2 linked regions of the Bombyx mori genome follow. The protein of the gene in region 1 binds, or shares a complex with, the protein of each later gene. Links are inferred from orthologs where the notes say so. Each region holds a gene or a part of one and is shown on either strand. Other genes may lie near its edges.

Region 1 (5,650 bases):
TGCAATAGTAAATTTCACGGTCTAGTTGTATCCATCAATTAACATCAACATGATTTTAACTTCAAATCATTATATCTTCAATACGTCACCTGTTTATAGATTCAAGATTAAGGATGAAATATCTGTTGTTGCCAATAACTATCATTACCTACTTATCTTTTTTTTTCTTAATTAATACATCAACCTTGATCATTTACCACTACGATGAACTAATCTAAATGCGATGATCATCATAATTTTTTTAGTGAACTAGGACCAAAATATATAAATAATGTCTGTTTTGAATAGTATATTAAAATGTTTTTAATTTTAATGATGTTTATCTACGTGACTAACAAAAATGCAAAAAACAGAGTAGCAGTCTTGTGAGATTTATGTTTTAGAAGCATTTAACATGAAATTTTATAAATGTAGATGATATTATTTTTAATATGATGCAATTTTGATTAATGGGTTATAAATAAAACTACTAAAAGTATAAATAATTGTTTGTTTATTTAATACTAGCGACCCGCCCTCGCTTCGCTTCGGAAACATTAAAACACACATGAAACCAAAAAAAAAAAAAAAAAGTAGCCTATGTTCATCAGGGACAATGTCGGCTTCTAATGGAAAAAGAATTTTTCAAATCGGTCCAGTAGTTTCGGAGCCTATTCGAAAGAAACAAACAAACAAATCTTTCCTCTTTATAATATTAGTATAGATAGTATAGATTTAAGATTGGTATTTAAGTCCCTAGACTAATCTAAATTTGAATCATATGATAATTAAGCCAGTTTTATCAATACAAGCATCATGTTCTTCTCCTTCAACCTCTTTCACAAATAATATCTACAATACTAGGTTCCATTAGTTGTGGGTCAACGCATCTCAACTGTGCTGATGCTAAAGCATCTTCAAGCAAAGCATTTAGAAGCCTCTCATCATTGCCCATACATGAAAGCCTTTGCTGTAGAAAGTGAACATCAACTTGTAATTGCTGTAGGCCATGCCTTCCAAATGTGCGTAGGCGCACACATTCAACTAATGCTTTCAAAGCTACTTTTAGGGCACCATTTGATAGTGCAGCTCTGTCTGCCCCTGCAGGACTAAACACTTCAATTCTTTCAGAGAATATCCTATTAAGAGGTGAAAAAGAAGAAGGAGCACGTGACCAAATAGTACGCCGACTGGAGTCACTAGAAGGTTTAATACTAGTTGGAAACAGTTGAGATGCAGCACCATCAGCACTAGCTAAGGTCTCCACTACTCTTCTGCATACTGCTCTTGGCCCCCTTGGTTCTGGAGCTCGCAACCAATCTCTAGCTAATACAGATACTCTCAACATTTGGGCTGCAGTCTGGCCAATAAATACAACTTCTGAATCTAGTGCAGTCTGCGCTGCAGTAGATAAGTGGACCATGACACTACTAGTATCCTTGTTATCCACAGTGAGGCCAGGAGCAGCCTCTTCTAAGAGTTTGAGAAGATGGTTCTGTAATGTCGAGACACCAGTCTCTTGCATATCCAAACATAGCTTAGCTAGTATAAGTAGCAATTCAAAAGGAATGTTGTTATTTGAAGTCTGAAGGCAAGCCATCTTTTTTACCAGATCAGAAAGATTAGCCATAGTTTCATTTATGACTTTTGAGCAAGCATCAGCTACTGCTTTTGCACACCAAGGTTTTAATCCAAATGATAAATTATTTTGTAAGAATGCCATTAGATCTAAGAGTGAGGCTTGGATTTTTTGCATCAGATATACTTGAAGGGAGTTCAGTATATCTTTTAAGTCAATTGTTTCTGATCCTTTACTGGCCAAAGACTGCCTTACTTTCATAAGACTGTCTTTAAATTGAGTCTGTATGCTCTGGTACTGTACCATAGCCTTGTGATTTATACACTGAATGACAACCTCAGTGCCTTTACTGGACATCATATCACTTGATGATATTTCGGTCATAGCCTGGAGTTTTCTGAAGAATTTATCAAGGCCCCTTATTAACATTTCAGTTCCGTTGTTCTCAGGTCTTTTAATGACCTCTTCGAATAAATGAAAAATTTGAATCATTATTTTATCAGCAAATTCGGGTATGATAGCTTCCTGTTCGAACATTTCATTGTAACATGATATTATAATAGCTAAATCAGCCAACAATGTATTATTGCATTTTTCTACCCAGTCCAAAATGTCTGTATGTTCAGCTATAGAACTGAGCATCTGCAAGTGTTTGTCAAGACGACTCTCTGCACAACTAAGGAATATATCTTGTAAGGATGAATCACTTTCTTGGAGCTGCCTTAAAAGGGCTACACTTTCAGCAAGTTCAGTTGCAGATGTATTAGGACTGATAAGTCTTTCACGGAGTGTCTTCTTCAGTTCAAATATAATTTCTGAACACTCAGTCTGTATGCTTTGGAATGAAGGCTGATTGCCATATTTTTGGAGTACTCGCTGAGCATGTGAATAGTCTTGTACAGCATCACTGTATCTGCCTTCTGCTATTGCTTTGTTAAGTTGAGAAGGTAGAAGGAAAAGGAACTGAAGTTTATCTAACAGCTGTCTTGTACCACACAAACGTCGAACATTATTACCGCTGCCTTGGAGATTTTCAGATATTTGAGAGCTGAATGTAGTTATTTTATTGATATTCTCGCTAAGTTTATTCATTTCTTCTTGCATTATTTTAAAATCGGAACGCATTTTGCGTACAGTTTCGGTCGCCGAAATAAATTTATTATAATTTTCATAAACCAATGTCTGCATTTCTGATTGTAGAAATTGACTTTGAGTTACAATTTCCGCTTCTTTGTCCATTACTTGCTTTAGGGTAGCGCATTTTAGAAGACAATCTAAGTAGACGTCTGGGCTGAAACTACTGCTGTCGATGTCCAGAGGATTTTCTTTAACCGCTTTGGCTTCCTCCATATTATGTACTTTGTTCAATAGGTATAAAAGTGATTCGTTTAAAGCTAATCTCCTTAATAAAATATATTTGCGGTTTATTGGTTCGTCTGCAATTCTAATTTACCAAAGAGAATAACTATTTAGAAACACAACATTTCAGCTGCGAGGACTGACGTCGATAAGACCTTATGAGAATGAGAACAATTATGTTTATTTATACTATTTCCTACTTTACTAATACTCCGTCTTATAAATGCAGTTTTAGAATAAACATTAAAGCTTATATATTTTATTTCTGTATATACAATAATGAACATATGTATACATTGTATACTATACATACATATAGGTATGTACGTTTGATAATATTTCCCCATTTTTTTAAATAATTTTTTCTGGCTTGGAAACAAAGTCTTTTAAGCCAAATTAGCTTTTATTATTAAAATTTATGCAAGGTAATCTTTATCATACGTACTGCTATGTACTGCGTTTTTTGAATATTTTATGACTGGCCTGGTAACAAGACCTTTAAGCGAAGTACTCAGTACTTACTAGTCCACTGAGTTTCTCGCCGGATCTTCTCAATGGGTCGCGTTTCTGATTTGGTGGTAGATTTTGCAAAGCACTGCTCTTGCTAGGGCCAGTGTTAGCAACAGTTTGAACCGGTTTGAACCCTGTGAGCTCACCACGTCAAGGCGAAGCTGAAATAGCCTCTCAAAGCTATCAGCATTGGTAGGGAAAAGTACTTATATTCATTTTAATTATATTACTTATGAGCATACACGGGTAATGCACTAAATATAGAAAAGAACCACGGGTACTGTATTATTTCCTATGGTAGTTCAGAAGATCCATGGTGGAACATCCACGCAGCCTTCCTCTTCTTCTTATTACGTTATCTCATGTTATTGCCCTTATCTCACTTCTTTTAATTCTCTTTTAATTCTTTTAATATATCCCATCGCTCCTTTTGAGTTTTCTGACAACAGCCAGCCTTTCATAACAAAATATTTGGTTGTATAGTCAAATATATCTTTGCCTATAATAACGAATCAACCAAAAAAATATATTTTGAAGTTTGTGTGTTTAAATTTGAAAACTTTCTGTTGCGAATTGTTTTGTGATTTTTTTGCTAAAATACTTCTCATATACAATAGAAAACTTGGGAGCAAAAAACGTAAGGATGGCTCCTCGAGATGTCCCCAAACCTACGCCTAAAGTGCAACGAATTGTAGGGAAGACTAATCAGACTAAAGGACGCGCTTCGCCTGCGTCTGTTAAGAAAACGATGTCGTCTATCAAAAAGGCGACTGACAAGATACCTTTAAAATGTAAGATTCCATTTTTACACTCTCGAGGTGAATCTATTCAATATCTCTTCCTTAGGCTTGAGGTTTGAATTTCCAAAGATTTCTCAACGGATGTTCTTCAATTCCGAGAGCCGTAGGCCTTTAATTAAAATTTTTTTTTTTAAATCTCGTTTAAAGTTTTCATTTTATTATTTCCGACTTTTAGTGATCACAAACGGCTTATGTATTATTCGCCAACATTTGCATATTGCTCTAAGAACGATCTTATCAAGAGAATCAAACTTGAAATCCTTAAAATGCAAATTGTAGTTCCTATTTACATCCGAGGACGTCGTGTATTAAAACCAAATAACATAAGTAGCAACTGAAAAATTCAATAACTACTGTGATATCTTGGAAATTTGTGTCCTAAGGAAAGCACTAAATTTGTCAAAGTCATATGGAATGGAAATGAAATAAATAAAAACAAATAAATAATTTCTAAGGCAAGGCTGAAAAGGCACTTAGAATACCTGACTTAAAAACTTTAAAGTCAGGTATTTCTAAGTGCCTTTTTCCTTATATTTATTTTTGAATAGACTCTAATGAAGGCTTCATGCCTCCAAGTGGTCTCTGAGCTCTTACACCCAATATATAATATGTAAAAAAAAAACTAGTAATTACAGTCAAAATTTGTTATAACGACGTCGAAGGGACTGCTTATATTCAGTCGTAAAAACCGATAGTCATAACAACTGGTGATGTTTAATGTGTATCGTGCAAGTACAAACAAATTGATAGGGAATTATTGGAAAAATATATTTATTCAACTATGTACATAAGTACAATGCTATTTTTCTGTGAGCATAAAATCTGCAATTTTGGTCTGTTTGGAACACTTCTGCTGTGCATAGATATTTTGTAATTCACGTTGGATTTTAATTAACGTATCGTCATAATTGCTGTGGATGTGTTCATTAAAAAGAACAATCTTTCTTAATACACTAACAGCATTGATACCATCATTCAAAGTTGGTACAGTAAATTGTTCTTCAGAGTCTTCCTGTTCGTCATCTTCTTCTTTAACATTTCGTATAATATCATCTTCTGTAGCTCGTGCGCAAATTGCAATAGAGTTATCTACATCAATGAACTCTGCTGCTTCAGTAATAGATAAAGCAGGTCGTAAATTTTGGGCTAATTGAGCAACAGAAATATTGTCCTCTCCATCATCATCAGTCACATCATCTGAGGTTATTGTTAAGAGGTCTTTAAAACCAGCATGCTTAAAGCAGTTAGCTATAGTGTTTTGTGAAACGTTTTCCCATGCTTCTGATATCATCAAGATGGCATCAAGAACCGTAAAGCTTTTTTGGTCGCTACTGTCAAGGTTTTGTAATAACTTTAACACTTGCAGTCTTCTATAGTGAGATTTTAAACACCTTATTACACCTTGTTGCAATACAGATGTAAC
Region 2 (5,670 bases), on another chromosome or scaffold:
ATTTCGGTCAGTCTACCAACAATAATTTTGATGTTTACAGGTGGGCACTTTTTAAACCTGTTTCCTGTACAAGATGGTATTCCTTACCTCTACCCTCCATAGTTAAGCTATACCAATAGCCGTCGTGTGTTGAAAGCAAAAATCTCAGAAAATCTTTACTTGGATTCGTTTAGGATTGTCAGCTATTTTATCCTTTTTTTGTTTAAATATACTCGAAAAAACACATCTGAATTAAAATAAATATTTATATTAAAACTTAAAACACTTGAAATAAATACATGTTAGATTAATAATTTAAACTTTAGATTAAATACCTATCAATCGCATCTCCATGTTCAGATTGGTTATCTATAGTACATAATATGATCGCCTCTAAAGATTCTAATAAAAAATGACAATAGCTTAATCATCGATTTTTTCAAAACCGATAATTTTTATTTATTTTGCTAACTAGTTCTGAAATAAAAATACCTTTTTGGTTTGTTTCTACAATTGCATTTGAGAACAATATTTCATCATCATAAAGTATTTTAAGTAGAAGTGATGACTTAATGTAATATTTATAAATAGATAGTTTTCTTTACATAAAATATTGGAAAAGTTAATTTAACCAAACGTCATATAGTATATTGTCTTCTGCATCATTATCGTTTATAACTCTGAGTGTCTTTAGAGTTTGTAAGTAAAATGTCAATTCAGAAGTCACTACACCATGTTGGGGGCTTCCATTAGCAACTATATTCATTTTAATTAGTTGTTCTCTTAATTTATCTTTAAAATTATCATGTACTCGTTTGTATATAAACTTTATTTGTTCAGGTGGCAAAATATCAATTAATGCTTCATGTAACTTCACTAAATGTTTTGAAATATTGCGGAATGTTTGAGAAGGAACTGGGGGCTTTGCATCCCACCCTGTTAATTGAGAACATAACATATTACTTACAATTAAGCAAATCTTATTTTCTATTTCCTGTTTATGGCTAGCAATATCACTCTCAATAGCAACAAAACCGCTCAATGATACCTCAGAAGAATGTATTTTCTCTAACAGCTGTTTTATCATAGGTAAAAACCATAATATAACCTGTAAAGATCGAGATACTAGAGCTAAATTGGATGTAGAAATAGTTTTAAGTCCAGCACTTTGTATTGCCCCTGCACCGAGAACAAGTTGGCAGCACCGAGAATTAAACAATCTTAATAATTCTAACATACAATGAACTAAATACTGAACTATAATGGGAGATTGTCTGGTTGCATCACAGTATTCCAATAAAATTTTTATAAGTAGTTGAACTGTCCCTACCAGAGCATAGCTTTCTTTGTTTATAAAAAGATATTTTCCGTCTGGTTTCCCACTTTCATACAGTAAATTAGGAGGTATTTCTTGAATTTCACATATTTTTGTGATTGCACTTTGCAATTCATATGGAACATCTGCAGTTTTCCATCGTTCAGCATTTAGAGAAGCTGTTAATTGAGATCTGCGTTCAGTGTGAAGTGTCTGTATATACTTCATAGCAAAGCTCCTTAGAGCCAAATTCATGGCATTACTACAATATCCGGTTACATCCTCACATTTGGTGCAAAATTCTTTAATCAAATTTGATAGGAGAGATAACTGTGACATATCAGAACACACATAATCTTTGTCTGTTTTAGTTACAATTAGGTTAGCACATCTTTCATTGCAGTAATCTGACAATGAAACAATCATTTTTTTCAATTTGTCTTCAATAGATGTCAATTCTTCAGCTGACCAAATCTCTTCATTATCACTCCCATTAACATCTTCCATTTGACTTACATCTATAATCAAATTTGTTAATGATAGTATTCTTTTAAATAACATAACTAAGTTTGGAGTCACTTTTTGCAAAAATAAAATGCCTTCGTTGCACAATAGCCACATGTTATCTGCATTTGATCCTCTTAAAACAATTTCAAAACAACCATCTCGCTGTGAAATAATTTCAATTACTGATTGTTTTATTGTAGCTTGAATAGATGTCATAGCTTCCATTTTAAATGTGTCTAGAAAATCAAATTCTTTGAGACGAAGAATGCCAGAAACAATTGATATAATTTTATCTTTTTCAGGAATGTCACTTTCATCTATTAGTGGTCTATTTAAGTCACATACAATGAATTTTAGGAATTCATTACTTAACATTTTATGAATTAACCTTTTCATTTCAGTTAATTGTGGAGATAAGTGTCTAAATGCCTGTATGCCTGTAAGTCGAGTTGACAATACTTTTTGTGTAGAGCCTATTAAATCCAATGCAGCAACATAGTCCGATGTACTGAGTAATAGCTGAATCATAGGTTGAGTCTGTTGTACTGTTGACATTAGCTTAAGAATTTCATGAACATGACCAAGATTACAATTTATCCTAGTTAAGCTTTTTAATTTCAATGGACATTCAGTCAGATTCTTTTTAACTTGGTTAATATGTTTTCTTGTTTTCTGAACAGTATTGACAGCTTTTGCCATCTGTTCCATTATTGTATCATGTGAAAGCATAGCATGAAAAAATGCATCTGATCTTTGTGCTACTTGCTTTGAAATATTCATTTCTATTACATCCAGATAAGTGCTCAATGTTTCTTGCAGAGATCTTATAGCTACATCATTATCTACAGAACTACAAAGGTTTGGAAAAACTTTACTGAAAACCACTGGATCATTTAATGGCAAACCTGGTTCATAGAATATATCTGGTATTTCACAATCATTTTCTATGATTGCAGTTTTATTTTTAACTGGCAAATTTTCTTTTAGTCTTAAATGTCTTCGGTACCTCTTAGCAATTTTTTTACAATAAGATTCAAAATGTGTCAATGTTACATCTGGTAAATAAGGACTAGGAAGTATATCAATTTTATCCACAAAGCTGTCACCCCATGTTTTCGTGAAGAAATTGCTCTGCTTACCTCTATTCGGATCATTCAGTACTGCAGGGAGATTTTGTGAAGAAGAATAGAATGTCCAAGACTCATTAGGTGTCCTGGTATATGTATGATATTCTCGGATGTGGTACTTAAAACCAGCTTTCCGTAAATCTCCAAATTGTAATGCAGAGCACATCCCATTTTGTCCATATTGACAAAGGATTATGGTTCCCTCTTTTATGGAGTGCTTATCTAGTATATGTCTGTAAAATAAATATTAGCATATAAGTATTGGGCTTACAAAACATTTAGGAATATCTATAGAAGGGTATATCGCTAGCCATTTCAAACAGCAACTTTTGTGAACATCCATATCATTCATCTGTATTAGCCATATATACTTAATGTATTTGCTTTTACGTTCAGCGAGCGCCGAGTCATTAACTAAATACCAAATCATAGAGCATAGCTATAGGTGCCGACGTCGCTTAATTGAATAAGATGAAGATCACTTAATTTATAAAATAAGTCTTAATTTTAAACCTTTCAAATTCTGCTGCTGTGCTGAAAACAAGGCTGGGGCAGTGTGAACAGTTTTGCCATGCTGGATTCGTGCTTGATGATGAATTTTCCTCCATAACATTTTTAGTATAGATTGATTTCTGTATGTATAAGTACACTTTTCTTTATGAATTTCGAATATTGACTCTAAGAAAACTTGAACTTAGGCAAAAAAATAGCTACATTTTTTTTAAAAACTGATGACATGACATCTCGTTTGATAAATGTTAAAGTGACATTGACATTTGAATTGTTGTCCCGTTTTTTGTTTTTGGAGGCAAAGAAAATATAGCCCATACGTTTAAAATCTCTAAAAGGAACATTTGAAGCCTAACATCAAAAGTGAAAGGGAACCGCATTTGGAAGGCTACCTGGAAAATATCACTTTAAGCGGAAAGGAAGCATATTGCAACATTTTTGTTAATTGTCAAAAACCTTAACCATCGAATGACCGTTCCGATATCGAGTCGAGGGAACGCGCTCTCGCCCCCGTCACGTAACAGCCGGAGTCCCGCAAGGCTCCGCCCTCTTCCGTTATTGTTCAATTTGTATATCAATGATGTACCCCGGTCTCCGGAGACCCATTTGGCGCTCTTCGCCGATGACACGGCTATCTACTACTTGTGTAGGAAGAAGTCGTTATTGCATCGGCGACTACAGACAGCAGCTACCACCTTGGGACAGTGGTTCCGGAAGTGGAGCATCGACATCAACCCCACGAAAAGCACAGTGGTGCTCTTCAGAAGGGGTCGCCCTCCGAATACCACATTGAGCATCCCGCTCCCGACCAGACGCGTCAACACCTCCGCCTCTGCCATTCGGCCAATCATGATGTACGACCATTACCGAATCCTGATCATGCAGGATCTAGTCACCGTCGACGCCCTAGACACGTCCTTGCGGATCCATCAGATCCAATAACCTTTGCATTAGACGCCTTCAGCTCTAACACTAGGAGCAGGCTTAGGGACCCCGGTAACCGCACTCGTCGAACTCGACAAGGAGGTCGACGGGCAACCTAACCCATGCATCAGCCCGCTGTCTTTCTCGCCGGATCTTCTCAGCGGGTCACGGTTCCGATCCGGTAGTAGATTCATTCGCGAAGCTGCTGCCCTAGAGTTGTTAGGTCTCCTTTGGAGGCGCTTGGGCAGCTGTTAGCAAATCCCACCCCTCCTGGCTGAGCCTTTGCTCGCCCCCCTGGTGAAACTGGAAAGGCCTCCGGGCTACCAGTAATCTCTCAATCATAAAAAAATGTACGACTAACTCATACCGTGGGCCCCGAAGGTCAAATACTTAGGCGTCACCCTCGACAGATGGATGACAGTCCGCCCCCACTTAAAGACGGTATTCGACCGTGCCACCTTCATACTAGGACGCCTCTACCCGATGATTTGCAGGCGAAGTAAATTGTTCCTTATAAATAAGGTGACACTCTACAAAACTTGCATACGCCCCGTCGTGACCTATGCAAGTGTAGTGTTCGCTCACGCGGCCCGCACTAACTTAAAATCACTCCAAATTATTCAATCCCGTTTTTGCAGCATAGCCGTCGGAACCCCATGGTTCGTCAGGAACATCGACCTCCATGACGACTTGGACTTAGAGTCCATCAGTAAGTATCTACAGTCGACATCGATGCGCCACTTCGACAAAGCGGCACAACACGACAACCCTCTCATCGTGGCCGCTGGTAACTACATTCCCGATCCTGCGGACAGAATGGAAAGCAGTCAACGAAACACGTCATTTCGGATCCTCCCGATCCACTAACGGTCCTTTTAGGTACCTCAAGCACCGGCCATCGTTCTCGTCGATCCCGTCATTTGCGACGAAGGGCTCGACGAGTAAATTAACCCACAGACACAGCCCACTGAGTTTCTCGCCGGATCTTCTCACTGGGTCGCGTTTCCGAATCGGTGGTAGATTCTGCAAAGCACGGCTCTTGCTAGGGTTCGTGTTAGCAACATAGTCAGGTTTGAGCCTCTTAGGAAAAAAAATCGAAAGACTTTATTTAGCCTTTACTTTGAATGGTGTCCAATAAAAGATTTCTTTTGAAATGAGATTTCGGAATGAAATGAGAAGGTGACAAAGGAAAACGAGATGAACTAAGTGAACTTTAGGTATTGTATGAGATGAAATGAAATAACTCTTGATTAAAATAGTGGTAATTTACAGAAAGTTTAATTACTCTTCAAAAGAAGTGAAGTTTTT

Evidence for each region.
Region 2: vacuolar protein sorting-associated protein 51 homolog (region 1) and vacuolar protein sorting-associated protein 54 share a complex: the UniProt entries of both Homo sapiens proteins name them as parts of the golgi-associated retrograde protein (GARP) complex. The link is inferred for Bombyx mori from reciprocal best matches to the Homo sapiens genes VPS51 and VPS54.

What each region holds. Positions count from the first base shown.
Region 1 is NC_085115.1:1,408,080-1,413,729, forward strand, and holds vacuolar protein sorting-associated protein 51 homolog, read right to left. Parts: upstream 3,279-5,650; 5' UTR 2,909-3,278; coding exon 809-2,908; 3' UTR 477-808; downstream 1-476. Other genes in the region: uncharacterized protein LOC101737848, read left to right, coding at 4,071-4,245. UniProt on the Homo sapiens protein: Acts as a component of the GARP complex that is involved in retrograde transport from early and late endosomes to the trans-Golgi network (TGN).
Region 2 is NC_085118.1:10,581,442-10,587,111, forward strand, and holds vacuolar protein sorting-associated protein 54, read right to left. Parts: upstream 3,696-5,670; 5' UTR 3,537-3,695; coding exon 3,442-3,536; intron 3,162-3,441; coding exon 602-3,161; 3' UTR 232-601; downstream 1-231. UniProt on the Homo sapiens protein: Acts as a component of the GARP complex that is involved in retrograde transport from early and late endosomes to the trans-Golgi network (TGN).